2 linked regions of the Oryza sativa Japonica Group genome follow. The protein of the gene in region 2 binds, or shares a complex with, the protein of the main gene of each other region. Each region holds a gene or a part of one and is shown on either strand. Other genes may lie near its edges. A codon is read from its position in the direction of its gene.

Evidence for each region.
Region 1: the proteins of F-box/LRR-repeat MAX2 homolog (region 2) and strigolactone esterase D14 are in contact, whole or in part, in a cryo-EM structure (PDB 8IF6), measured with the Oryza sativa proteins. Residues at the interface, in NP_001411525.1 of Oryza sativa: Gly109 (codon at 8,133), Gly110 (codon at 8,130), Ser113 (codon at 8,121), Ser115 (codon at 8,115), Ser116 (codon at 8,112), Ser118 (codon at 8,106), Tyr596 (codon at 6,672), Ala597 (codon at 6,669), Leu598 (codon at 6,666), Thr599 (codon at 6,663), Pro601 (codon at 6,657), Asp634 (codon at 6,558), Asp636 (codon at 6,552), Val637 (codon at 6,549), His666 (codon at 6,462), His668 (codon at 6,456), Leu696 (codon at 6,372), Met697 (codon at 6,369), Thr699 (codon at 6,363), Arg702 (codon at 6,354); in NP_001404251.1 of Oryza sativa: Asn61 (codon at 7,049), Arg63 (codon at 7,055), Gly66 (codon at 7,064), Ser67 (codon at 7,067), Asp81 (codon at 7,109), Ser83 (codon at 7,115), Leu89 (codon at 7,133), Arg97 (codon at 7,157), Gly107 (codon at 7,187), Ser108 (codon at 7,190), Pro111 (codon at 7,199), Ala135 (codon at 7,271), Arg137 (codon at 7,277), Pro211 (codon at 7,590), Asp217 (codon at 7,608), Pro219 (codon at 7,614), Ala220 (codon at 7,617), Val222 (codon at 7,623), Gln223 (codon at 7,626), Ser226 (codon at 7,635), Arg227 (codon at 7,638), Asn231 (codon at 7,650).

Annotation. Positions count from the first base shown.
Region 1 is NC_089037.1:5,462,777-5,477,124, forward strand, and holds strigolactone esterase D14, read left to right. Parts: upstream 1-6,667; 5' UTR 6,668-6,868; coding exon 6,869-7,392; intron 7,393-7,483; coding exon 7,484-7,916; 3' UTR 7,917-8,224; downstream 8,225-14,348. UniProt on the Arabidopsis thaliana protein: Involved in strigolactone signaling pathway. Does not move long distances acropetally in the plant to regulate shoot branching and is rapidly degraded in the presence of strigolactones.
Region 2 is NC_089040.1:2,934,313-2,949,505, reverse strand, and holds F-box/LRR-repeat MAX2 homolog, read right to left. Parts: upstream 8,468-15,193; 5' UTR 8,458-8,467; coding exon 6,295-8,457; 3' UTR 5,725-6,294; downstream 1-5,724. Other genes in the region: probable thiol methyltransferase 2, read left to right, coding at 9,408-9,561, 10,110-10,240, 10,824-10,910, 12,795-12,895, 12,968-13,067, 13,844-13,890, 14,031-14,109, 14,413-14,466. UniProt on the Arabidopsis thaliana protein: Component of SCF(ASK-cullin-F-box) E3 ubiquitin ligase complexes, which may mediate the ubiquitination and subsequent proteasomal degradation of target proteins. Promotes the senescence. Is necessary for responses to strigolactones and karrikins.

The sequences.
Region 1 (14,348 bases), on a different chromosome or scaffold from region 2:
CGTGGGTTATGACCAGGACAAGCTCGTGGGTTCTTATCCGTAGTCGTCGCGACACACTGCCTTTTTTTTTCTCGGTGTTCAATGGAGTAATGGACCATGAGCTATAGCTTCTTTGTCTTCAACATATTATACACCTTTCGTGGGCTCCTTGGAATAGATGAGCTCACGCGAAAATTCTACAAAATTCATGTGTTCATTTTGAATCTAATTAGATAATTATTTAATGGATGAATCTCAATATAGAACCAATAATATGAGAAAAACCAAGTGAAGCTCTCTTCAAGATGTTTAGCGAGATCTTTAATTCATTAGTATCAGAAATGAACCGCATAACAGTGTTCGTGCGGTAGTTTGTGTGTATGATGCATCTTCCATGTAATTGAAAAATAAATGAAAATTTGTGGACTCAAAGAATCAACTGAATTATTCACCAATCGAGATAGGATCTTTCAGGATTGGGTGTCTGGTCCATGGAACTTTTCACCCAATGAACTTGCAACTAGTTCAAGTCTCATCCAATGAACAGCAAGTCTGGCCGAGCGTGAGCGGTCCAAGAAAGCAGCTGGTTTAGGTAAACCGTTCTCTTTCCATTTTATGTGGCTTTGACAAGCATAGCGCACCAGGTGATATTTTTTTAAATAAAACCCTATAGGAAAATCACCTTATTTACTAGTGAATTTGGTTACATACTAAGCCAGATAAAAACCATAAGAATCGGTAGCATCTTTTTAAAAATGATGCTCGATTGGTCGAGAAATGATCATATTATCAATTTTTATATGTAGCTAAAGATAGTTCGATTGGAAATGGTACCAGCTTCATCTCTCAAAAACCACTCATCATGCTTGGAAGAATAGTCTTGGATCGTAGTGTACCAACTCAGATTCAGATTCCAGAGAACATGAAAAACTTGGTAAAGAATCCTGTATGATTGTACCAGACGGTACGGTATGAGGTGAGTACATGCTAAACAGCTACGCGTAGTAGGAGTACTAGTCATTTGTGTGCCTAAATTATGCTATTCCCTCCATTTCATATCATAAATTATTTTATGGTTATATTCTCTCCGTCCCATTTTAAACGCAACCATAAGTTTCTTTGTGCAACTTTAATCGTCTGTATTATTTAATTTTTTAAAAAAAATAAAAAACATAAGTCACGTATAAAGTACTATTCATATTTTAGCATCTAATAACAATAAAAATATTAATTAAAAAAATTTAAATAAAATGGACGATCAAAGTTGAACCCAGAAACTTATGGGTACGCTTAAAATGGGATGGAGGGAGTACTAAATCAAATCTTCTTAAGTTTAAAAAAGCAACATTTTTAACTTGGAATAAACTTGTAAATATACTATAAAAACATATCGAACGATGAATTTAATGAAACTACTAAATGTTTTCATCTGTTTTTGATTAAGATATAGATTTTACCTCAATTTTCGTTAGCACGCTTTTCAAACTATTAATCGTTGAATTTCGTCCGAAAACTTTCGATATAAAAGTTGCTTTAAAATACCAGATGAATCTATTTTCAAGTTTTAAATAATAAAAATTAAATTAATTATACGCTAATGGTTTTCTTGTTTTACATCCGTGTACTTAAGTTTTATCTACATCACTACCAAAACATTACCTTAAACTTGTTATAAATGTTGCTATATTTTTCTATAAATTTGGTCAAACTTGATAAGGTTTGACCTATGATAAACTTAAATTAACTTATAATATAAAACGGAGGGAGTCCCAAACCACTACTCACTAAAGTATAACTACTTTCAACAGTATAAATTCTATCTAAAATATAACTACTTCTCTACCTACTCCATATCTTAACTAATCATACATTTAACTTTCTTCACTTAATTCTAATCTCTCATCATTTACTCTACAAGCTGATCAGCCATAAAAAATAAATGAAGCAATTAAAATTGATCTATGGATAAAACTTGTATATCTTTGTTCTTAGTGCTTTTAAAAGTCGATCCTGAAAATTAAACTACGATGCAAACAATCTCAAAATCAATTCTAAAATTAAATTTTAAATTTTAGCTATTATTAATAAACCAACAAGCAAAACAATTTGTTTACTTATTTTCTCCACTTATTTATTTTTTTAAAAAATATATAACCATTCCTCATTCGATTTCACAATTATCCATGGTCTCCGTGAAAAATTCTAAAGTGATTACATGTTGGGAAGGAAGTAAAGAATTGATCTACGAATCATATTTTTTTTAGATAATAGAATGAAATAGCATCCCGGTCTTTACTCAAAAGAGCTACAGCCAATTATTACAAAATAGCACTCTGTAAGAGTAAAATCCAAATAGAAGCAAACACACCAACCAAACTAGACAAAATAACATTATTCTAGTCTATTGGTAAATCTCCATTCATGATTGGCAAACAGTTGTATAATCTTCGTTTCAAGCTTACGACATGCAACAATTAAGAAATCTGTATTTTCATCACACTTTTGTAACTGTGACAACAGATGAAGCCAATATGTTGCCTTGAAAATGACCTGCATATAAGTAACAGTAAGTGATTTATCAAAAACCCTATCATTTCTACTCAGCCACAGAGCCCAACACAAGGCAGAAGCTCCAACAAGTATCAGTTTGCTCTTTTTGTTTATGACTCCCTGAAGCCAATCATCAAAAATATGAGATATGCTAGTAGGAATATATAAACCAAAAGAAAACTAAACTGCTCTCCAAATAAACTTTGCAAAATGACAATCAATGAACAAATGTTGGATAGACTCATTTTTCGTACAAAAGCAACATCTTAAATTACCATTCCAATTCCGTCTTGCTAAATTATCCTTGGTTAACACAACTCCCTTAAGCAAATACCACATAAAGATCTTGATCTTAAGCGGCATCTTGAGTTTCCAAATTAACTTATTTCTGTCAATGTAACCATTATTAATTAAAGCTAAGTACATTGATCTAACTGAGAATTGGTCATTCTGATGATAGTTCCATCTAAAACAATCAGAAGTATTATTCAATTGAATATGAACAATAGATGCACACAATTCATGCCAAAGTGTTAAATTCTGACCAACTAAAGCTCTCCTAAAAGAAACATTGAGCGGAACAGAAGCCATCACACTAGCAACAGAAGAACTTCTCCTTCTGACAATAGCATATAAAGATGGATACTTTTCTCTAAAGGCCATATTTCCTAGCCATCTATCTTCCCAAAATCTTATTTGTTCCCCATTATTCACAATCCAAGAACCCATAGTTAAGAAAGTGTTTTTGACATTCATGAGTCCTGACCAAAAATGGGAGTCACCTTGTTTCCTGTCAACTTGGGTTATAGACTTATTATAAAGATACTTTCTCTTCAATAGGTCTTGCCAAACACCATTTTCATTTATTAACTTGAACAACCATTTACTCAAAAGACATCTATTTTGAATATCTAAATTATGAACCCCCAAACTCCCCTGTTCTTTGGGTTGGCAAATAATATCCCATCTAGTAAGTCTATAATTTTTCTTATGGTCATCTCCTTGCCAAAAGAAACGAAATATATAATAATCAATCTTTTGAAGAACCCCTTTCGGAATCTCAAAGAAAGATATCATAAACATAGCTAAACTTGAAAGGACAGAATTAATCAAAACCAGTCTACCCCCAACAGACATATGTTTTCCTTTCCGGCTGCTAAATTTTTTCTCTATTCTTTGTTCGATAACTTTCCAATCATTATTACAAAGCTTTCTAAAATGAATTGGAATACCGAGATATTTAACTGGAAAAGATCTTAACTTACAACCAAAGATATTAGAATATTGCTCATAACACTCCTTTTCCTGACCAAAGCAAAATAACTCACTTTTGTGAAAATTAATTTTCAAGCCAGATAATTTCTCAAAGATAGACATAATCAATTTTAAATTCTTTGCTTGTTGTAAATCATACTCCAGAAAAATGATGGTATCATCTGCATATTGCAAAATAGACAAACCATCATCCACTAGGTGAGGAACCACCCCATGAAGAGATCCATTATCTTTAGCTCTTTTAATTAGTAAAGCTAGCATATCAGCAACTAAATTAAAGAGAATTGGAGATAGAGGATCCCCTTGTCTAAGACCTTTATGCGTTTGAAAATTATTACCAGTTTGATCATTAACTTTAATACCAACATGACCACCTTGAATAAAAGAGGCAATCCACTCACACCATTTAGTAGAGAAGCCTTTCATCCTCAAAGTCTGTTGTACAAATGACCATTTAACCTTATCATAAGCTTTCTCAAAATCAATCTTAAAAATTACAGCACTTTTGTTTTTACGATGTAACTCATGCAAAGTTTCATGCAAAATAACCACACCTTCCATAATATTTCTCCCAGGAATGAAAGCAGTTTGAGTAGGACTAATTGCCTTTTGGGCAACCGTCATGACTCTATTTGTGGCAACTTTGGTAAAGATCTTAAAACTAACATTAAGTAAGCAAATAGGCCTATATTGCTGGATTTTCATGGCCTCAACATACTTAGGTAAAAGAATGATCGTACCAAAATTAAGAGAGTATAAAGGCAAAGTATCATTATGAAATTCTTTAAAAAGATCTAATAAGTCACATTTTATGACATTCCAGAAAACTTGATAAAATTCAGCAGGAAATCCATCAGGACCCGGTGCTTTGTTATGTTCCATTTGGAAGATCGCCTCATTAATCTGTTTTTCAGTAAAAACATGCGTTAAAGCCTCATTCTCCAACTGAGAAACTTGAGGAATGTCAGCAAATTTATTCTCATCAAACTGAAGAGTAGAATCATTAGGAGGCCCAAATAAACCTTTATAATAAGTGGTAATATGCGATTTCAAATTCGCATCACCATTTATTAATTGGTCACCATCATGTAATTGAAAAATTCTAGTCTTCCTATGTTTTCCATTTGCAACCAAATGAAAATATTTTGTGTTAGAATCACCCTCTAAAATATCCTTAGATTTCACCCTCTGATACCATTTAACTTCCTCTTCTCTCAGAATTGTAGATAATCTATTTCTACAAAACCATCTAAAATCCAACTCCTCCTGACTCAAAAGCATAGTTTCTGCCTTTTTATCTAGCAAATCCAACTTATCTAAAATCTCCTTTTTTTTCTTTTTTGTACAAGCCACTAGTATGTTTAGACCAACCCCTAAGATGCTGTCTTAAACGACGAATTTTCGCCTGCCACCGCTCCATGGCAGAATTGCGTTCATCAACACTAGACCATATCTCCTTTACCATATCAACAAAGCCATCACGTAAAAGCCAACCAAATTCAAACTTGAAACTATGTTGAGCATTACTCAAAGAAGAAGTGTTTGTATTTAAAAGTAAAGGAGTATGATCAGAAATATCTCTATTAAGAGCCACCACAGAAGATAAAGGAAATTTATGTTCCCACTCCGTGAACATTAAAACCCTATCAAGTTTCTCATATGTTGGATTCACTAAATTGTTTGCCCAAGTAAATTTCCTACCAGACATCTGTAACTCCCGGAGACATAACCCATCAATAATAGCATTAAAAAGGAATGGCCATCTATCATCATAATTATCATTATTCTTTTCATCAGGGCTACGTACGTAGAATATTAAAATCACCACCAATAAGAATTGGTAAGGTTTCATGACTGCACATATTAACTAATTCAGCAAGGAATTGATCCTTAAATTCACTTTGTACTGGCCCATACACCAGAACTAAAGCCCACTTAAACTTATCAACTTTATTACATAAATGAAACTTAATGTAGAAATCTCCCTCATCAATCAAACCAATATCAACATTAATTAAATTGATGCCCAAAAGCAAACCACCGGACCTACCTCTATGAGGCTTGCAATGCCACAAAAATTATTTGCCAGCACACAGATTTTTAAGAACAGCCGGACTAAAATCTTTCTTAATAGTCTCTGACAAAGCAATAAAATCAAGGTGATGTTCCTTTGTTAAATCAGAAATAAACTTATGTTTTTTCGGGACCTTAAACCCATCACAATTCCAGAACAACCCTTTCATTTAAAAATATTCTTTTTTTTTCTTTCCCCTTTTAGTCTTTTTCTTACTATTAGGAGAGGTATCTAAAGAATATAAAGTGGTCTAAGAATAATTATCATCCACACCACTAAAATCCATCACCTCCTCCATTAATTCACCACACAAATGTTGAAGTAGAGAATTATCATCCACCTGATCATCCAATATCTCGCTATCAACATTTGAAGTATGTACCTGATTAACAGAAGAACTAACATATTCACTTAACATCTTTTCCTCTATACTCTTTAAATCATTTATAACATCATCTAATATGTCTACAACGTTTGCTGCAAAAATTCCCTTAACGCTGATAATCAAACGCTACATTACAGACACTAACAGCGACGTTCTTAGCTTGTCAAAACTCTCAACTACGAGTAATATTAATTGCAGTGGCATCTCTGGTTGGGATTGTGAAGTCAAAAAAAAATAAAACAAAACGATAAGAGAAAAAAAAACTTCTCCTGAGAAAAAAAAATCCAGAGAATTATAGGTGCCTCACTGCCTCTCCTTTTTATCTGCTGTGGATTGGATAATTGGACATGGAGACAAAACCCAAACACCCCCCTAAATAACTGAAGCAATCACACACCTTCTCTGCAAAAATCCCAATCTACCACCGCACCCAACGAAGCTTAAGACAGTGGAATAAAGCAGAGAGAGAAATCAAAGCAAGAAAGAGAGAGAAGAAGCGAGGCAAGAGTCAAGACCATCTCCCATGGCCAGTGGTGATAGTAGTAGTAGTAGTAGTATATAAAAGGGGAGCGCGCCACGGCTTGCCAATCCGCCGCGCTGGTGTGATGCTGCGATCGACGCATCCGCCGCCCAGTAGCCCGAGCAGCAGCAGCAGCGGCGGCGGCGGGGGCGGGGGGTCGTCGGCGTCGTCGAGCTCGGAGAAGACGATGGTGGGCGGCGGGGGAGGAGGGGGAGGAGGGAGCGGGTCGGCGGCGCCGAGCGGGGCGAAGCTGCTGCAGATCCTGAACGTGCGGGTGGTGGGGAGCGGCGAGCGGGTGGTGGTGCTGTCGCATGGCTTCGGGACGGACCAGTCGGCGTGGAGCCGCGTGCTGCCGTACCTCACCCGCGACCACCGCGTCGTGCTCTACGACCTCGTCTGCGCCGGCAGCGTCAACCCGGACCACTTCGACTTCCGCCGCTACGACAACCTCGACGCCTACGTCGACGACCTGCTCGCCATCCTCGACGCGCTCCGCATCCCGCGCTGCGCCTTCGTCGGCCACTCCGTCTCCGCCATGATCGGCATCCTCGCCTCCATCCGACGACCTGACCTCTTCGCCAAGCTTGTCCTCATCGGCGCCTCTCCCCGGTACGCTCGCTTCCACTGATGTGAATCCTTTCTCGCTCTTAAAATTGAATCTGATCGGGGGCGATCGGGGAGCACGGACATGTGTGTGCAGGTTCTTGAACGACAGCGACTACCACGGCGGGTTCGAGCTGGAGGAGATACAGCAGGTGTTCGACGCGATGGGGGCGAACTACTCGGCGTGGGCGACGGGGTACGCGCCTCTGGCGGTGGGCGCCGACGTGCCGGCGGCGGTGCAGGAGTTCAGCCGCACCCTCTTCAACATGCGCCCGGACATCTCCCTCCACGTCTGCCAGACCGTCTTCAAGACCGACCTCCGCGGCGTGCTCGGCATGGTCCGCGCCCCCTGCGTCGTCGTCCAGACCACCCGCGACGTCTCCGTCCCGGCCTCCGTCGCCGCCTACCTCAAGGCCCACCTCGGCGGCCGCACCACCGTCGAGTTCCTCCAGACCGAGGGTCACCTCCCCCACCTCAGCGCCCCCAGCCTCCTCGCCCAGGTGCTCCGCCGCGCTCTCGCCCGGTACTAATCCAACGCCCCCCGCACGCCACCGCGGCGCGCCGCGCGTGCGCGTAGCCGCAGCGACGAGTCAAAACGAAGGAGAAAAAAAAAAACCACCGCAGCTGCGGCTACGGTACGTGTGGCCCAGTAGGGGGACACGCATCCCTCTACTGTTTTTTTTTTTTTACCGCGTCGGATTTTACTGCATTTTTACCCTCCTCTTCTCAGGCCTAGAAAATATTTCGGCGCGACCTGCCAAGACCGAGAGTGTACTGTAGCATTAGTGCTCGATTTTTACCTACCTTACTCTATTGGAAAAAAAATTACATTACTGGAGTGCTTCGTGCATACAATTATTTTTCTTTGTATTTTTTCACTCGCCGATTGGTGATGGTCTGATTGATGGACGACGCCGTGGGCCTTCTCACGGCGAGTGTTCGCGACGGCGCACACGGGTTCGTTTGTTTGTTTCTTCTTCCTCCTTGTCCCGGCTTGACGTCTTGTCGTTTCATTTGTCAATATCTAGCCGCAGTAATTTTTTCTTCGTAGTACTAATATGTTCAATTAATTTAAATCGTATCATTATTTGTTATTAACAAATATATAACGATATTTACTTTGTTATATAGAGAATTTAGCAACATCATATTTAATTTATCCTATCAAAACTTAATAATGTTGTCAATTTATCAAATTTTTGATAATATAAATTTTTGAAAATGTTTATTTAGGCAGTAATTTCTACTGCTGCTGTAGAAATTACCCTTCATTTTTTGTACGGTTAAAACGTCTCAAGGAATCGTCGGTTGTGGGAGCGGTAGCAGCTAAGCGATGGCAAATCATTGTCAACGACATGCATGGCCCATCTTATCGCCATTTATATCGCCGATAAGGAGGTTGACCCTGCCATCTAACCGCAGCCTACGGCCCCCCAGAGAAATCACAAGTCGCCACGTGTACCAACCTGATTAGTCACCAGTAGCTTTGTCTGCCCCAGTTGGCCACTACTCTCTCGGTCTTAAAAAAATCCAATCTAATATAAGGACGGACATAATCTAGCACAACAAATCTAGATAGTCTTTTGCCAAGATCTAGATAGTCTTTTGCCAAGATTCGTTATGTTAGGTTACGTTACATCTCAATCCTAGCACAACAAATCTAGATAGTCTTCTGCCAAGATTCGTTATGTTAGGTTACGTTACATCTCAATCCTATGTTAGTTTTTTTTGGTACGGTCCATACGGAGGAAGTATGTTCTTGCTGAGAGATTCCTATGCTCTAACCTTACCTACACCTGCCATCTCAAAAATTTGGTAGCCTTTCACACGGATAAAACGAGATGGATAAAAAGATTGCTCTATAAAATAAGAGCGGGTACAATAATGAACGGTATTAGTTTCACGTAGGATTTTGTGATGAATTGGAGGAGAGGGGGGAAGAGAGAGCGCCCACGACTAATTTGTCGCCGCACGCGCTGCTTAAAGAAGTTGTGGGGCTCGCCTGTAGATGAAGAAGCATTCCTACATCAGCCATGGTTTGCGTTGGTGCTGCTCCTCGATACTCCATGGCTAACGCCCTTGTCCATCGTGTCCATTGGACTGTCACCCTCGGCTTGGCCGGCGCCGACTCCCGCATCTACCCTAGCCGCCATCGTCTCTCGCGTTCACCAGACAACTGAGCTCGTCTAGCCCAGCTGTCACCGTCTTTGCGTCCGCCGCACATGCACCGTTACCTTCCGCCTCCACCACACAGCCGCCTTTGTCTTGCACGACAACCACTGTCTCTTGCGTCCGCCAGACCGCCGTAGTCACCTGCATCCGCCAGATCACCGTCATCGTCCATCCTCGCTGACTGCTCAAGCCCAAAATCGTTGACGAATCGAAGGTAAGAAAAGGAGAAAGAGAATAATACAGGAAATGATGAGGTATGAGGAAGAAAAAAGATGGTGGATCCCATAAAACAATAAAATATTTATGTTATAATATTCATATTATAGGTATTAGTTACTATGCTTACTATAGATGACACGGTCAGCTAATAACATGCTATCTTAACCTTGCTCTAAGTGAGGAATATAGATCGAGACTTGTTGGGACTATAATTAAGTTAAGTGGTAATTTTTTTTATCTTATAAGTAATTGGTTGATATATTTAGAAGAATCTGCTATATTTTTGAACGGTCTCCGTTAACGATGTAAGTACCTTTAAAATTTGTACACGAAATTTATAAAGTATTCTATCTCCTTTCAACCACCTATCACTAAATTCTCGTCGAACCACAGGCTTCAGCCTTTCATCTTGTCTAATCAGAAGATGGCAACCGCACTTGAATAAGAGGCATCAAAAGTCTTTTATTTTCCTTCTTAATAATGTCATAACAATCTTAGAAATGCTCTACACACGTGGATGGACTATGGAGGGAGTAGCATTACTATCTGAATTTGATTGTCGTGTTTTTTTTTCTTTCAGACGATGTGGGCAATCTTGACACTGTTTTAGGATGCTCTACGGTGCGCGTCTGTGTGTGAGAGTGGTTGTGTGGGCTGTGGGTGGGGGCCTTGATGGGGAGCCAACGTGATGATCTGCGTGATGCCTAGCTTTTGATACGGTAGTTGTGGTGTTGTTAGCTGGCCAAACCAAAGCCTTTAAGCTTGTGGACAATAATCAATGCTGATGGATAAATAACAGTTGATCATGGAGTATTAGCATTTGGCCTATCTAGTAGTCCGCATATTCTTATCCACAAGTGATAAGTATGGATTATGTCTGCAATCAGCGTCTTGCTAGTTGCTACTATGAACGAACCAAGCCAAACTAATCCAATCGAGTTCGTGCTCCGTAATACAGTTTCAGCCAATTGTCACGTAACGCCAACTTTTGTGAGCCCCATCGAAGCCACATCAATCAGTCACACACACATGTACACACGAGCTGTGAGCACACCCTGGTTATCCATGTAGTATGATCCATGGATCATCTTGCTGGATGTGTTGCGGCAGAGAAACCAGCACAGTGATAAGCAGTGTTACAACTTTTTTTTTTTTTGCGGGGAAGCAGTGTTACAACTTGCAAGCCTGTTGCTACAGTGCACTTTCATTATTTCATATTTGTTGGATTGAAATCAAGCCTAGCTCAGCTGGGTAGTTTCGTTGACTCGTTGTGGACTTGTAACCTGACCACCGGTATGATTTAGCGATGTGTAAATGCATGGACAAGGGGGGTGGCAAAGAAACGAAGAGGATAGGTGAAAAAGGAAAGGAGAGGGATTGGGAAAGACGACACATGGCCATTTTGGATGAGACCAAGTTGCAATTTGGTGCATACACTTTCGTCTAAAAAATCAACTTCTAATCTTCTACAGACGTATATGGACAAATATTTGTTCAGATATATCTTTGTGATGATATGAAACAAAGAAGAAAGTACAAGGTAATTTTTTTCATCTCAATATATAGTAACTTAGAACCGGATGAAACTATAAATATGAATAAATCATAATTAGGAGTAGATATCAAGCCAGCTCGCCTCGATCTAGCTCGTTAGGATAACTTATCCAAACGAGTTAAAAGGTTGACTCGGTTGCCGGCTCAAGCCAGCTCGTTTAGCTTGTGAGACCGAACAAGATATCGAAATTAGGATGGAGCAAGATACAACTTTTTTTTTGAACGACTCGCACGAGACGGTGCGAAGTTCTATTGATAGAATAGGAAAAAAAATACAGGATTAAAACCTTGGTAGATCGTAACCAAGAAAAAAGGGGAAAAATACCATCACCCACACACCGACAGCGCCAACACACAGGTCCAGGAGAAGGCTGACACCGGACCGGTCGCCACTACGCCAACAACGAATCATAGACGAGATCGCCAAAAAAACACCCTTACAACCAACACAAAGCCCAACTCTATCCACGTCTTCCAGATTTAGGGAGAGAGGGTGAGAGAGAAGAACATCTGTCCCCGCCCCTAGGCTCTCCGACGTGGCAAATTTGTAGAAACTAGGACGCCGCCACAAGAGGATGAGAATCTAGAGCGTGCATGCACCAATTGTTCGAGTGGTTCGGCAAGGGGATGCCTAAACGACGTCTCCAAGGAGAGAAGCGACGAAAAGCCGCTGACGTCGTCCGTCAGGGTCTCAAAAGAGCCAAGACTGGGCTTTCACCCGGCAACCACCCTTAAGGGATGAGACAGCACGACAACGCTCTCAGGAGAGGGAATGACACCATCGTTGTCAGTCTGGCCAAGGCCGGGTTAGGTTTTCAGCCGCCGCTCACCACCTGCTCCACCACCGACCGATGCTCCACCATCACCCAACTCTGCCGACATGTCGGACCACTTCACCGGCGCCCCCCCCCCCCCCCCCCCCCCGCCGGCCAGCCTTCGTACGCCGAATACCGCGCCACACCTACCGGCAGCTCCTCGCACCATGGTCACCTCCTCCTCCGTGAGCAGGCCTTATCACGCTGCGCCGACCTCCTCCACCACCGGACGCGCCTCATCGCGCCAATCCGGCCTCCCACCACCGTTCGTGTCCCTCACGCCAAGCCGGCATCCACCATAGTCGGGCATGCTTCTCGCGCCATGCCGGTCTCCACTGCCATCAGCCGTACCTCTCTGTGCCGAGGACCAGCCTCCGACCCCTCCTCCAATCGCTGTCACGCTGGCCAGATGCGGCCGTCTGCCACGCCCCCGACTAGCCATTCGAGACCGTCGTGCCTCCTTCCATCGCAACCACGGTCGCCACCGCCGTGCCTCCTCCCACTGCAGCCACGGTCGCCACAGCAGCCGATGCTGCCGTCGGCCAGCCACCTGCTGTTGCCGCTGTTGCCACCGTCGCCACAAGCTCCGCGCCACTGTCGCCGCTGCGACGGCCTCTCCCGCCACGAGTTCACCCCGTTGACGCTGACGCTGTCGCCACGAGCTCCGCAGCACCGCCACCGCCGCAAGCTCGCCCCACACCAGATCTGCCCTCAGGAGGGCCGGATCCGTCCAGGGCGGCTCCCTAGGTTACCCAAGCGTGGTCCCGCCGGCGAGAAGCGATCCCCGCCGCCGCCATCCTTGCAGCCGCTGACAAAAGCCGGCGGCCGCTCAGGCGGCGGCGAGGCGGAGGAGAGAGGTGGGGGAGAGGGGGTGGCCGGAGCTCGCCTCCCTAGCCATCCCCGGGGAGGGCGACAGGAGAGGTGGGGTTGACGTTCCTTGATTAATTCCAAGATACATCAAATTCATAATACTATGCCATCATATATGGGGAGAGTGGGAGTAAGGTTCTCTGCTCTCTAGCCTGCTCTCTAGAGCGGGCCCCCTCTCCGTTGGGGTATCGAAGGAATCCCGATCCCTGTACGCGATAAGATGGGGCCATGCCATGAACCGGGTCGGCGTCGTGCGTGCCGCGTACGTACACATCGCCTTGGTTGTGCCTAGTTGCCCTATAGCCGCAGCTTATCCTCCCCGTCGTAGAGGCGACAACCGACGGCGAGCCATCTCTCGAGTCCGAGGCCCTTCCGCTTTTGTCGTGCCCGGCGCGACGTTCCGTGCCACATTCATCGGCCGCACGTCGCGCTACAGCGGGCGGCGCTGTGTGCCTGTGTTGGCTCGCGGCCAAAAAGCCCAAGAGAGGGGAGGCTGGGAGAGGCCCCCCATCTCCATGTCGAGTCGCCACATGCAGTGACCAGTGATACAGTCATATGTACAGTAGGGCACTATGCAAGTATGCAGGTAATGTGTTGGAGGCACACGCGCACGGGCGGCGGAGCCGGCGGGAAACACTGCAAGGTGCATGAGATTGATGTGAGAGACGGCATTTTGATCCATTGTTCGTGAATGTGGATAATTTTTACCGTAATTTTGACAATTTGACCCTTTTAAAAAACTTATTTTGAAATTGAATCATCCCAAAAACTAATTTCAAAATTAGGCCGTTTTCTCAGCGCCATATAGATTAGCGCCGAGATGTCATCCGAAGTGTCACGGATTTTACACGTCATCCGAGGTCATCGCCAAATACTCTTTGTTCAATTTACAAATATTAGTTATCTACAAGCTTCCATTGCACACACAAAGACAAGAAAGCTTGGTGAACTCTAGGTGCTAAATACTGCGAGGTAATGGGTTCGATCCTCAGCCAAGCAAGTATAAGCATCTTTTGCTGTTCTATTTAAAAATCTCACATGCTTTTCAAATTCATTTTATTTTTAAATATGGATGTTTTTTAATTTATTTTATTTTTAAATATGGAAGGAGCAAAATTATGTATGTGGTATTTATAGCTTAATAGTTGGTATAAAATTACATCTTTCATTTTTTTTCACCCTCTATTTTGCTACATAATTATGTATGCAGTATTGATCCTAAAAGGAAAAAAAAGAAAAATAAGAAGTTACGGGGTTCGAACCCTTGACCTCTTGTTATGAGAGGCAGCCCTTCACCACCAGGATAGACCTTCCATAAGGCTAGAATGTACA
Region 2 (15,193 bases):
CGCTGGACGCGTTCACTCCCTTCGCGGTCCTCGGGTAGAGTCTTATCTGTGAGGTATGCTTGGATCTCAGCGATCCAAGCAATCAATCTAAGGGAGCTGGGAGCGCTCCCCTCGGGTCCCGAGGCCTGGACTCCGACGGGCCTCGGGGGCCTGTCAGGCGCATCCGTCTCCCCTAAGGGGTCGGGTCGCGCCGACGGCTGGGCAAGCCTTTCTTCAAAGGCGCCCGGTGGGGTCTGGGCTCGCGAGGAAGCGAGCCGTGAGAGTTCGTCGGCAATCGTGTTATCCCGTCTGGGCACGTGCCGAAGCTCTATCCCGTCAAAATGGCGCTCCATACGCCGTACTTGGCGCACGTAAGCGTCCATCTGCGGGTCAGAGCACCGGTACTCCTTACATACCTGGTTAACGACCAGCTGGGAGTCGCCTAACACCAGGAGGCGGCGGATTCCCAGTCCAGCTGCCACCCTGAGTCCCGCAAGGAGTCCCTCGTACTCTGCCATATTATTGGTCGCCCGAAAGTCAAGGCGAACCAAATATCTGAGGACGTCTCCGCTCGGCGAGGTCAACGTGACCCCCGCACCGGCGCCTTGAAGAGACAGGGAGCCGTCGAACTGCATCACCCAGTGGGCGGTGTGAGGCAGCTGCGAGGGGCCCGAGCTGGCCTCGGGGACTGAGACGGGCTCGGGTGCTGGGGTCCACTCTGCCACAAAATCGGCGAGGGCCTGGCTCTTGATAGCGTGGCGTGGTTCAAAGTGCAAATCAAACTCAGAAAGTTCGATTGCCCATTTCACCACCCGTCCAGTACCCTCTCGATTATGCAAGATTTGGCCGAGGGGGTAAGACGTAACCACCGTGACCCGATGCGCCTGGAAATAATGGCGCAGTTTCCTCGAAGCCATCAGAATAGCGTAAAGCATCTTCTGGGCCTGAGGGTATCGGGTCTTGGCGTCCTGGAGGGCCTCACTAACAAAGTAGACGGGCCGCTGCACCTTTCGGTGGGGCCGATCCTCTTCGCTAGGGGCCACATCCCTGGGGCGCTCTTTGTCCAAGCGGCCTTGCGGGGTGCACTCGTCTTCTGTGCCGACGACCTCGGGGTCGGAGGACGGCAGGGGCGGCCTTCCCACAGTGGCCTCGGGGCCGTCCTGGGGGTCGGGGGCTCCTGGCGTCGTTGGACAAGCGGGCAAAGGGCCAACTCCGGCCGTCAGGGGCCTTAGGCCACCGTTCGGCTCGGGGGCCTCTTCTCCCTGCTGTCTCCCGGGTCGAGTCGGCACAGGGTTAGCCTCGGGGTCAGAGGGCGATAGGTGCGGCCTTCCCGCAGTGGCCCTCGGGCCATCCTGGGGGTCGGGGGCACCTGGCACCGTCTGACAAGCGGGCAGAGGGCCTGCTCCGGTCGTCGGGGGCCTCTCCTCCCTGCTCTCTCCCGGGCCAAACCAGCACAGGGTGGGGGTGCGCGGAATGAGGATTGTCCTCATCGCGCTCCACAACCAACGCCGCACTAACCACTTGCGGGGTCGCCGCTAAGTAGAGTAGCAAGGGTTCATTTGGCTCCGGGGCGACCAGAACTGGGGGAGAGCTGAGATACGCCTTCAACTGAGTGAGGGCACGTTCAGCTTCCTCCGTCCAAGTAAACGGCCCGGAGCGTTTGAGGAGCTTAAATAAGGGTAGCGTCTTCTCTCCCAGCCTCGATATGAACCGACTTAGGGCGGCCATGCAACCGGTGACGCATTGCACATCCCTAAGCTTGCTGGGGGGGCGCATCTGCTCTATAGCTCGTATCTTCTCGGGGTTGGCCTCGATGCCTCGGGCAGAGACCAAGAACCCGAGAAGCTTGCCCGCAGGTACACCGAACACGCACTTATCGGGGTTCAGTTTTATGCGGGCGGAGCGGAGACTCTCAAAAGTTTCCGCTAGATCCGAGAGTAAGGTCTCTTGGTTGCGCGTCTTTACAACCAAGTCATCAACATAAGCCTCAACATTACGTCCTATTTGGCTACCCAAAGAAATTCGAGTAGTACGTTGAAAAGTAGGACCTGCATTCTTTAACCCGAAGGGCATTGTCGTATAACAATAAGTTCATATGGGGGTAATGAATGCAGTTTTTTCCTCATCCTCCCTAGCCATGCGAATCTGATGGTAACCAGAGTATGCATCTAGAAAACACAAAAGGTCGCACCCCGCTGTGGAGTCGACAATCTGATCTATGCGAGGCAGGGGGTAAGGGTCCTTAGGACATGCCTTGTTAAGGTCGGTGTAGTCGATGCACATCCGAAGCTTGCCGTTCGCCTTGGGAACGACCACTGGGTTCGCCAGCCACTCCGGATGGATGACCTCGCGGATGAATCCGGCCTCCAAAAGTCGCGCCACCTCCTCGCGGATGAAGGCTTGACGTTCCGGGGCCTGCCGCCGTACTTTCTGCCGGACCGGCCTTGCGCCCGATCGCACGGCAAGACGGTGCTCAATCACCTCCCTGGGGACCCCGGGCATATCCGCCGGTCTCCATGCGAAGACGTCAGCGTTTGCCCGCAGGAAAGAGACGAGTGCGTCTTCCTATTTGCCGTCCAGAAGACCACCGATCCGTGTGGTCTTGGACGGGCTGTCGCCCAGGGCAACCTCCTTGACCGGGACCTCGTCGCATGTGACTATCCGTTGCCTCGGGGCGGCGGGGGCGGATGTGCTAAGCCTCTCGTCGCCACCCTCGGGCTTGGACGCGGCGGTGAGGTGGTCCGCGCGCTGCTCCATACAAGCAAGCGCGACTTTGAGGTCGCCATGGACAGAGATGGGGCCACGAGAAGCAAACCAAATAAATAGTTTTTGAGGAATAAATGTGGTTTTTTTTCTCTCTTAAAAACTGTTGAATTTTCAGTGGCATTTAATAAATCGCCCTTAATTTCATCTCTTAATATAAAATTAAGCACGAGAAGATTTTTTTTAACTATTTCAGTCGATGGATTAATTAAGCTAGCATGCTGCAAGATCACAAGCGATGCTTCCAATTTCTTCCCTTAAACAAGACGTGTCACGTGTACTTGCGTGACCTTGCTGCAGAGGGAATCAACCTTCGTAATAATCAATTAAGGCGTGTACTTAATTACCTATACACGTGGTCTTACTTACATGCCATAGTGTTATCGATTATAATTAGTAGTCTACCCACGTGGCGCATTTTCTCGAATTACCCCTTTTAAAAAGCAATTTTTATAACTAAAACCCTCGCAAAAACTTTCTTCGGCTGTGTTTAGTTTCTGAAATTGGGGAGAAGTTTGAGAAAAGTTTGTAGTTTGAAAAAAAAGTTACGAGTTTATGTGAGTGGAAAGTTTTGGATGTGATGTGATGTGATGAAAAATTGGAAGTTTTGGGGAAGTTTGGTGTGAGCTAAACAGGACTGGCGTCGTGACATTTAAGCATACAATGTGTTTATGGATTATTATGGTACGGTGTCACAGGATTTGATACTGTATAAATCACGTAGGATGGTCCGTAAAGCTACTTACTTTTCACAAAGCATATCCTACGCAGTAGGTTGCACAACACCTAATCATATAGTGTTGTACTTTATTTATATACACCGAGTTAAATATCATCGCTATATGTTTAGGGCCTATTTTTGGAAAAAAAGTTCTATCAAACATAATGATATAATTTTGTTAGATTCCTTTATGATACAACATGCCTCGTATTCTTCATATTCTTTAGTGAAAGATACATGCTTAACAAAATATAATGGAAGATACAAGCTTAACAAGATATCTATAGTAATTTCGTCAACCTCATGAATAATATATTGATAATAAATTAATCTCTCGAGATATATATGTTTTGTGTTTACACGTGTCTCACGAAAGTAATTGTAACATATGTTTGTAAAAGGATCGATTGTGAAAACCACTCCTCACGCACGTTGTTTTGCTAGCATCGCTAGCGCCGTCAGCATCTACACGGCAGAAAGCTACTGGTGTACTGTACAATATTATCATCACAAGTTAAGGTTGTAAAAAAAAAATACCAACATATTCCAGCACACACATATTTTTCCTCTGAATTTTCTCCACCAATTAATCAAAATAGAGGTCCATAGGACTATATCCTTGTCAGTGCATGACGACATGACGGGCTCCATTTGCTTACTTAATTACTCTACATGACCTCAAATTAGTAGAATCACATTCACATTCACATCAACCTTGACACCATGGTGAAAAAGCCAATATGACATATCTGGGTGCAAACAAAAGAGTGAGTTGCATAACCATCACAAGGATAATTTTCTTCCATACACCTGGAAGACAAAGCTTTCACTTTTACCTTTACTTTGCAGTTGGTGCATGCATGCATAGATGGATAGCTGCATATGCTGACTTTACCTGATGTCTCTGTACTGACTCCTTTAGTTTTATACAAGGCGATAAGCCTAGTAGGCTAGTAGCCTCACCTCACTCGCCGGCTAATATCTTTTGCAGCATCGTCTGAAACCCACTTATCCTTCGAGCATCTGATGAGTATCTGACCTCAGAATCATCGCTCAATTCTATCGGAAGGCACTTGCAGAATATTACTAGCTGATCATCAGATGAATGGAAATCCACGGCCGCCACAAAAATATCTGCTTTAATTCTGATGAAGAGAAACCAGGGAAAACAAAAAAAAGAGGACAGCAGGAAAGGGAGGTGCAACCACAAGGCTGCAACTGACTGCCTGCTCATATGACATCTCTCCTGTCACCAGCTTTGCTTTCAAGACATTCTGAAATTAGATAGGTAGCAAGAAGCGATCAGCACATTAAATATCCAAATGTATAATAATATTGCAACAGATAGTAATGAGCGAGTTATGCAGATGTACCAGCAAGATAAAATGGCATCAAGGAGCATCTGAATTTCCAACACATATCTGCCAAATGTTGATAAATAACTAAAACTATGAGCAAATAATAAGTGTGTGTATGTGCTTGTGTGACGTGGTTGATTGACAATCATGTGAGCAATAAGCCTCAACGTGGCAAAAGAGGAAAGGAGAAGCTTCTCCTCTACCTAATCTACTCCTTCTAGAGGCCAGCTTTTAATCCTGTAGTAGTACTTGCTTAAGCATTATTTTGTGAGGCCTCCAGCTGCTTAATCAAAAAAGCATTATTGCCCTTGCTGATGGATTAGGACAAGAGAGCTCTCTCACTCATGGACGACTTCTTTTTCCATGGCACCAAGAATCGTCTGGATTTGCTTTGACAAAACCAGTGATCTCGCATTATCTTAACTAGCTGAATGGAAGAGGCAAGCAGAGGAATTGGATAAACCGGCTTCTAGTGCGAAAATCTTTTTGTCATGTTCTGATGCTGATCTTGTTCCGCACGTCTTTCTTGTCATGCTACAGTTTGAGGATGAGATGAAGCAAAGGCCAGGTCTCCATTGGGGATCACTGCAGAGAACGAATCAGCAAATGGTGGTAGTCAGTTCTGATGGAACTGATTGGTTGTTCCTTGGAAACTAAAGCAGCTTTCAATCCTGCATAAAAAAGAGAAAACCTTTCAACATTCTATCAGATTAAATCCTTACTGCTGTGTATTAAAGTAAACCTTGTTGTAGCCGGTGTTGCAACTCAACATGCCCGATAATGACATGCAAAACTGGCTTGCACATCTGCACACGCCATCCCATTTGTCACCAAGCCTGTGCATGAAATGGAAAAGGAAAGGGACAGAAATAAACTCAAAGAGCAAAGGCACATAATTTTGGATTAATAGAGCTGTTATGTACACATCAAAATAGTTTCCTATCGCAGTAGTACTGAACTCCGTTGCCCATCCATTGAAAACAGTAAAACACTGACCAATATTAGATGAGCCACTTTCACCCATGAAGCAAAGGGCATAAGAAAAGCGAGTGGCGTTTTTCTTTTGTTTACAGAGTTCAAATGTTACAAACCGCTAGAACCATGCCAATTTGCCAATTACTCTTGCCGGTGTTCACAACTCAGACCATCTTAAAAACAAAATGTTTTTTTTTCTTGGAAAATTTTCCATGAAGCCTAATTTATAATCTTATCTCCTGCAAATATCTCATTTCCGACCCAACTCTCTTATTACATCAAAAAGGGGGTAAAAAAGCAACTGGAGAAGGTTACTTTGCTGACAGATCCAAGTGCTGCCAGTATACTACTCTCCTCAATGGCACTGCAGCAATACACACGACTCCACCCATAATCATAACCAACTCACCAGGAATCCCCTGCCATTGCACAGTGGAGCAATGGCACCATCCAGATAAATCTCTGTATTCAGCTTCAAACCATTTTGTGCCCACATAACTAATCATCAATTTGCCGGCTGTTCAGTTGCACCTCAAACCTAAGCCAAGATTCAGCCCGCATCTCTGTGAACATCAGATCATTCTCTGGGGCTGGATAATAGTCCTCCCGCAACTGCATGTCCCGCAAGTTTGGAATTGAAAGGAAGAAGGTCATGAAGTGCTCATGTGTGGTGCCATGGATGAAAAGCTTCCTGAGTCCAACGCAGCGTTGGATCAATCCCACGGCTGGCAATGTCAGGCTCCGGTGGTGCACATCCTTGTCTTGGGGCGGCCAGTAGTCCAATTCATACAAAGTCTGCAGTGATTCGATACCATGCAAATAAAATCGCTCCCATAGTGAAAGATCCATCTGCCCTGTTGGTGCAGTAAGTGCATAACCCACAGCTTCACTGAGGTCCAATTTCATCTTGGCTAATACTGGGAAGCCTGCAAGATCACTTAAGCCAAAAATTGTTCTTGGAGCAGGTCGTGGGCATGTCCGGCAATCACCCTCCACCTTAATTGAGATCTCCTCAAGCACGGGACAGCTATCGAGACCAGCAGAAATGAGCGGAGAGAGAAGCTGGCCAGCAGAGAACCATAGGGAGAGTGACCTGAGCATCTCCCAGCTTCCAAGATCATCAAATTCCATGTACCTACATTTCTTGGCTGCAGACTCGTACACTTCACCAAGCTCATCATCCTCAGGATCGCATTCGGTGGTGGTGCCATTTGCAACACTGCAGGGTTGTTCGGTTGTGTTCCAGACACAGTTGATCTCAAGACTTTCAATGCGATCACGGATCGGACTTAGAGCAGTGAGACATTCTGCAGTGTGCAGAAGCCGGCAGTGCAAGACAGTGACTTCCTTGAGAGTAGGCCGAAGCGTGAATGCAAGCCTCCTGATCCCAGCCGAAGTGACAAGGTCACAGCCATGGATGCCGAACTTAGCAAGCCTCCGGCACCCACGGCCAATTGCCGCAAGGCTGGCATCCGTGAGATCCTGGCAATTCTTCATGTAAAGTGACTCCAGCCCACCGCACACCGCAACACCATCAAGATGCAACCAAGAGGCCTTACACAGCCCCTGGAAGGAACCCAGGGTCAAGAACTTGATCCGCGGGCACCTTCGGGCAAGCGCCTCCATCGCGGGCGCGGCCTCCAGCACATTGTGCTGGAGATCCATGGTGAAATCCTCCAGCGCGGGGAGCGCCGCGAAGAAGGCGACTAGCCCCGCAACGGTGATGGCCGCCTCCTCCCTCTGGATGTTGGCCGCAGCCTCGAACGGCTCGCTGAGCCGCAAGACGGTCAGCCGCGGGCAGCTGGTGGCCAGCGAGAGCAGCGCGTCGTCGCCGACGCAATCGCTGAACCGTGGGTTGAACAAGCATGGCGCCACGAGCTTGCGGAGGTTGGGGCAGGAGGCCGCGATTGGCCCAAGCTCGGAGGATTTGAAGCCGTCGGTGGCGGCGGCGAGGCCGAGGTCGAGGTGGGTGAGCGCCGCGGTGGCGGAAGGGTGCGTGGTGAGCGCCCTCACGACGTCCTCGGTCCAGCAGTAGAACTCCGACAGGTCGAGCTCCCGGAGCGCGGCGCAGGTCTCCAGCAGCGGCTCGAGATCCGCGCCGTCGGGGAGGGTGGGCGGGCGCTGGTGCCAGCGCACGAGCTTGACGCGGCGGAGGGAGGCCTGCCAGTGCGGGGTGAGGTTGGCGAGCGTGGTGGGGTCGCGGCAGTAGACGGCGAGCGAGGTCACCGCCGGGAAGCAGCCCGCGAGGCGGGCGGCGATGAAGGCGTTCTGCTCGGAGATCGCCTCGGGGTGGTACACGTTCATCCCCGACGACGACGACGCCGAGGGCGCGCCGCCGCCGCCGCCGCCGCAGGGCGGCACGGAGGAGAGAAGCGGATGCCCCCACGGCGAGACGAGCGAGAGGTCGAGGTGTTCCAGCGCCGGGAAGCGGAACGCGTGCGAGAGGAACAGGAACCCCGGCGACCTCGGGTCGCCCCTCAGCGAGAGCTCCGACCTCGTCGCCCGCTCCGCCGCCCGCATCCTCCCGCACGCCAGCGCCGCCCTGTGCCGAGACCTCACGTCCGTCAGGAAGCTCAGGATGTGCAGCAGCAGCGGCTCCGGCAGGTCCAGTATCGCCGACGACGAGGACCTCCCCTCCTCCACCTCCTCCTCTTCCGCCATGGGCGACGTCTACTCCTCTCTCTCTCTCTCTCTCTCTCTCTTCTTTCTCTCTCTTGCTGCCGTTGAGGGATTTGGGGTGAAGCGAGTGGGGACGAGAAGCCACACAGCGAAGTGATATACTCGACAGCTCTCCCTTTTTTTTTTCCTTCTTTTTATTTTTTTGATAATTTTATCCTCTTATCCCCTTCGGATTAAATTATTTCGTCTCGTTTCGTTTCCACTTTTATAATTACACCCTCACCTTTTCCTTTTTTAACAGTACCCTCCGTTTCACAATACTCCATCCGTTCCATTTTAAGTGCAACTTTCCACGCTCAATTTGATCGTTCGTGTTATTTATTTTTTTTTATAATTAATATTTTTATTATTATGAGATGATAAAACATGAATAGTACTTTACTCGTGACTTATGATTTTAAATTTTTTTAAATAAAACGAAATCAAAGCTGGGCTCGGAAAACCATGGCTGCACTTGAAATGAGACGGAGGGAGTACAGGTTATTTCAGGTTACAAAAGTTTGACTATATTTATAGACAAATATAGTAATATTTATAATACTAAATTAGTTTAGCCAAATCAATAATTGAATATATTTTCATAATAAATTGTCTTGGGTTAAATATGTTACTATTTTTTTCTATAAACTTGGTTAAACTTTAAGTTGTTTGACTTTAAACGAAGGGAGTATTTGACTCTTTTTCTAAGTTAATGTTGGTTGATAAGATTATAAAAAATATAGTATGGTTTTTAACCCAAAACAAACACATTATTAAAACATATTCAATATAAGATTTAATAAAACCAATTTAATATTTTATATATTACTAAATCTTTTCTATAAATTTGATCAAACTTAATAAAATTTCACTAAAAAAATCATTCCATTTATAATATGAACCTGTATGAAACGGAGGAGTAATTAGTCATTATCATTATTATTACGAGCCGTATGCACGCGCTGCCTCGCTCTCGCCTCGGCTTCGGGTTCTTCGCGTCGATGAGCTCGTCGGCGGCGAGGGTGGGCGGCGGCGGCGGAAGGGACCCGAGCAATAACCCGGCGGTGGGGAGGCTGCGGGAGCTCGTGCAGCGCGGGGACGCGGCAGGTGAGGATGGATCGGGCTCTCCCCCTCGCTCTCTCTGTCTCTCTCTGGTGGTTGTTGGTTGGGGACTTGGGGGAGTTGGAATTGAGGAGAGGGGGGGGGGGGGGGGGGGTTTATAGGTTTGGGTCATGGTATCGCATGTGCGGGTGGTGGTGGGTGTGGGCGGATTGGATCATTGAGTTGGGGGCGAGTAGTTGGGGAAATTTGTTTGGCCTAGTGTTGAAGAGGAGGAAAAATGAGGCAGTAGAAAGGGATTCTTCCGGTGATTCCCTGGCGGCTTTGCTGAAACAGCATTGGTTGAACTCAAACTATGGTTGTCTCATTGTATGAGCTAGGACCACAATTTTGAGGAGAAGATTCTGCAGTTGGAGAGCTTGTTTGCTCTCTGAAATCATGCTGAAGTTAACAACAGATAATGTGGTTTCGCTGAAAGAGAAGGATGATGTTGAGATTATAGAGTAGATTGTTCTACCTTGTGGGTGCTTTCATTTTATCATGTGGATACAGCATCCTGACTTGGAATTGCTTGTTCTTGAATGTTGTTGAATCAGATGGCTGGGAGAAGTCGTGGGAGGCCGCCGTAACCCCGTGGGATTTGGGGAAGCCAACACCTATCATCGAACATCTCGTTAAATCAGGAACTCTCCCGAAGGGGAGAGCTCTGGTTCCAGGATGCGGCACGGCAAGTGAATCAACAACCCCATTTGCCATATGCTTATGCCTGCTTTCTTTTCCCCGCATGATCATTGATGCTTTCCTTGTTCTTGTTCCTGCCCAATGTACAAGAACAATTATATTATCGGTTCAAAGGATATCCAAGGATTATTGTAGGAATTGAAACTATAGGATTTTTTTCCTCCATGTATCATTCATTTCATAGGATAGATCCTACCAAATTCCTAAGTATTGTAGTCTTACAACCTTATTCCATATGATTCTTGGCATGAGGTAAGATCTCTTGGAAAAATTCCTATGGATTGGAGTGCACGTGGCATCCTAATCTTTTACTTTTCCTATTCCTATGATTTGGAAATCCTTTGAATCGAATATTACGAGGGTCCTGCCTGCTCGGTTGTTCCCTTTCAATACCAGTTCAGAGAAACGCCTAGGGGTCTTCTGGCTAGCTCCACAAGGTGGTGAGCTAGACGACCTGGGTTCGAAGCCTCACCCCTTTTAATTATTTGATATTAGGTCCTTCCCTAATATTCGCGTCTTTCAATACCAGTTCATGAAACTTTTCCAATGGAGGCGCTTCTGTGTAACAGGGATATGATGTGGTTGCTCTGGCAAGCCCTGAGCGATTTGTTGTTGGCTTGGATATTTCTAGTACAGCTGTGGAGAAGGCTAAGCAGGTGAGCTGTAGTCGAGTTCTCGATATCACTTATGAGAAGCTATGTTAACTTAATTAAGCTTGCAACCTAGTGAAAGACCAAGAACAGCTATAGAGGGGGGGGGGTGAATATAGCAATTCAAATCTTGCCCCCGAAAATACTCATCAAGCCGGATTTCTCAAAATCCTTACTAGAATCGCGGCTATTAGAGAAGCCGGATCTAGAAAAGAAGAGAGAAAAAGAAGAGAAAAGGAATTCCCGAAACTAGAGGAGGAAGAGAAAAGGAATTCCCGAAACTAGAAGAGAGGTGAGAAAGAGAGAGCAAAACTCATCATCGCAAAGTTCAAATTGCAAGCGGAATTTAAATTGCGGAATTTAAATGGACAAGGCAAAAATGAAATCCTTCAAATCATTTCATTTATAGGTGATGCAAAATAACCGCTCAACTAGGAGCAAACATACACCTTCAGAGGAACATTAACACAAACTTAAAATCTCTCGGACAAACACACTCCAAACTAATCCTAATACAAAAGCCTCTCGGGCAAACACACTCCAAACTCACACGGAAACTCTCTCACCGAGCATCTCAAAATGATTACCAAAAGGAGCAACCTCCACCCTTGCATCCATCTCTCTATTTATAGCCTAAGACCCCTAAGACATTGTCTCAAATACCCCTAGGGCGAAACCCTAACTCAGAACAGATCTGGTCCATCCATTGTTCCTTCTACTCAAAGGAAAAGCTCCAGATGATTGCCACCTCATCGATCCGAACCCTCACATGGTCTTCTTGCTGATGAATCCGCGTGCTCTCCGTCTTGACGAATCCAAACTTGCCACGTTGCCCAGCCGCGTCGTGCGCGTTCCGTCTCCTTTTCCTCAGCGCGCGCTCGCCAGCGCCCAACCAGCCCGAAGCCGCCACGCGTCCCGCTGAGCCGCTCCCGCGCGCGCTTGCAAAATCGCGTGTGGGTCCCGCGCTCCTGCACCCGCCTCCGATCGAGTCACGCGAAACGGGGGTTGCCGCGTACGGTTTTTCCGCGCGCGTCCTTGCGCATGCAAGCTGCCTGCACCTCCTGAGCCCATGCGCCATGGGCCGCCGTCTTGGGCCGTCGCTGCTTGGACGATGCAGGCCTGCCGAGCCGAGCCATTCACCATCTTGGGCCACGTGGAACGGCTGGATTGGCTTGGCCTCCCTGCCAACCAATCACAGCGCACATGCACAGCTAGCTAGCTTGACTTTTCCACCGAGCCATGCTAGTAGCAACCAGTACAGTGCAAGCTCCTCCTTGCACAAGTACAGTACGTGTACATGCATGTATGCTACCTACAGCAAGTACTGTAGCAGCAATGCACTTGCACAGTCCCTTCTGATTTCTTCGCGAATCCGATGCTTGCACACTTGACCTTGTGAAGCCTGTTGCAAAGACCTTTTCACACGGTGTTCGTCCACCGTGTGCAACCTTGTGTCCAATCTTGTCACCCGGCATCCTTGATCGCTTTGGACCTCAACTCCTCCCTGAGTCTAGTCCCGATCCGCCGTTGACCAAGATCGACCCCGATCACCTGCACACACATGAACCAAACAACCGTTGTCTTGGCACAGATGTCGCAACCTGACCAACGTTAGTCCACACACACACTTCTTGCACATCCGGTACTTGTCAATTTCCCATCACAAAAGAACTATAACCACACATGGTTTCACACCTAGAACTTCACAGATACTTCACTTTGAACCCCCCCCCTTTTTTTTTGAAAGTTAGGCAGGAGGATTGCCTATTTCATTAATAGGGAACTTTTAAGAACATTTCAGTACATAAATGGTAATATAGTTTTTGGTTAGACCCGTTGCTCTAAAATTTATATAGAAGTATCTAATCCTTTTATCCGTTGGTATACCAGTGGTCATCATCTTTGCCAAATGCAGACTGTTTTACTTTTCTGGCTGACGATTTCTTCAAGTGGAAACCAAGTGAACAATTTGATCTTATTTTCGATTATACGTATGTGCTAATTTTATCCTGTTGATTTCGTATTCTTGTGGCATCTTAAATGACCTTTATTAATATACACAGGTTCTTTTGTGCACTTGATCCAAGCTTGAGGTTGGCTTGGGCAGAAACAGTTAGTGGGCTTCTAAAACCTCATGGAGAGCTAATCACCCTTATATATTTGGTAACTGAAGAATCTATCTATTCTTTTGTTTACTTTTCCATTGAGGATGTCATGGTACTAATCATATCATATTGTGCTGAGGTCTGAGGCTTGTATTCATAGCCTATCCTTCTGAAGACATAGCCTCGTATGCACTCGCTATTTCTGAAGACAGAAAATAGAATTTAGGTAGGGTTAACTATACAAGTTGTCTTATGGACTGTTATGCAAGGAGCTAGCAATGTTTATCATGTTCTGTTAGATTGACAAAAGTTTTGAGGATCAACATAGTGAGTTATTTTCTACTCTTTGGCTGCTATTTATGATAGCATATACATAAATGGGCAATGGGGAAATTGATTAAATTGGTTTTCATAGCTTGGTGTAAATCAATGAGGTATTGCCTCTAGTTTTCCTAACTCGAGAGCTTTCAACAAGCAGCCAACTTCTGGCGGCCGATTTCTTATTTAGTCATTTCTAAATCATGCATCTACAGATATTAGGATGCACCTGAAAAGTAGGAAATTGGTTTTGAGCAATTAGCTGAAGCTATTTGTGCATACTCTGGTGATATTACAAACGGACCTGCTAAAACTTCTTTTGACATCATTCCAATATATTTTGCTTCATCCATATTGAGGCAGTTCTCTAAAACAATAAACAGAACTAATTTCAGCTCGTTACCCTAGCATGCACCATCTGTCAAGTGGGTGTAAAATTAGTTAGGAGCTAGCAATTCACTTCTTTTGATTTAATAAAACTGTTTTGTTCGCCGTAAAGAGAATCTCTTATTACAGATCAGTGACCAAGAAGGAGGACCACCATTCAATAATACAGTCACCGAGTAAGTCATTTGTTCCCTCGCCCCCAGGGCAGACATAGGCTTTATCTGAGAACCTTCCGTTTTTCTGTCTTTGTGATGCAACTTTGTGTTGTGCAAAAATCTTACCCAGTACTCTTGCGTTGTCCTTTCCGCAACCACAGCTATCAGAAGGTTCTAGAACCATTGGGTTTCAAGGCTATTCTCATGGAAGACAATGAACTAGCTATCAAACCGCGCAAGGTACATGATGTTTTTGTTGAGTAGCTTTGTAAGACTCTTCCTGTCCTCAGGATTCATTGTCATGGCCTATCCAAATCACAACATTGTCACTTACATGAATGATTTCTCAACTATGTTATAGTCTTTAGATAGTTTTTGCAAAAGCACAAGAGATTGTGTGCCTTTGAAACTTGGGATTTGTTACTGATTCCTGTGGGAATTGATTGATCTAACATTCTAACTCCTACAAAAATCACTGTAAAAATCCTGACTCCAACTATGAGGGCTTGCGTTATTGTCTTTGATTTTTGACATCATTTTTAGGGTCAAGAGAAACTGGGAAGGTGGAAGAGATTTGTACCCGGATCTTCTCTATAAAGAAGGGATGCAGCGTTCATGTTTCTTTCTTGGGCTCGCTTTCGTTGTCGATATTCAATTCTTCATGTTCAAGATCCAAGAACATGTGTGTATGCGTGCAGTCCAAGACTCAACAAATGTACTCCAAATAAGCTCGCGATGCTGTCAACTTGTCGTTGTCAGGCGATTTCAGCATTCAGAACAAGTGAACAGCCTAGTCTTGCAGCTCAAGATGTAACTGAATGAATTAGGGACAAAAGGAATAAAAGATCCTAGAAAAATGAAGGCACTATAACTGTATGACTGCATGATGGATGAAAAATAATCTGAACACTAAATTTCAAACTATTTGAAATTCTGATACAAAAATTTGCATAAGATGTACAGAATCATAACATTACCGGATACTTCTACATGAGAAGACATGTCTGCATCTCCAAGGAAAACGTATCACGCACTCACATGTAACAAAGTGGCAAATAATAAATTGTTAAAATTTCCAACTTTCACTGAATTCTCGCGCATTCAGAAAAGATCCACCCAATTTCACCTGCTTTAGCCTTTCAGTTACCCGTCGAAATCTCAAACGAATCCGAATAGTCAAGCAGCAATGCAAACATGGGCCTATCCGACTCGAAACAAGCCTGTTCCTCTGACAGATGGGCCATGGGCCCATAAAGCGGACCCGACCAGGAAACGAAGCCCAAACCCCCCGCCTCTCTCCGCATAAAGCCTCGCCAAGCAAAGC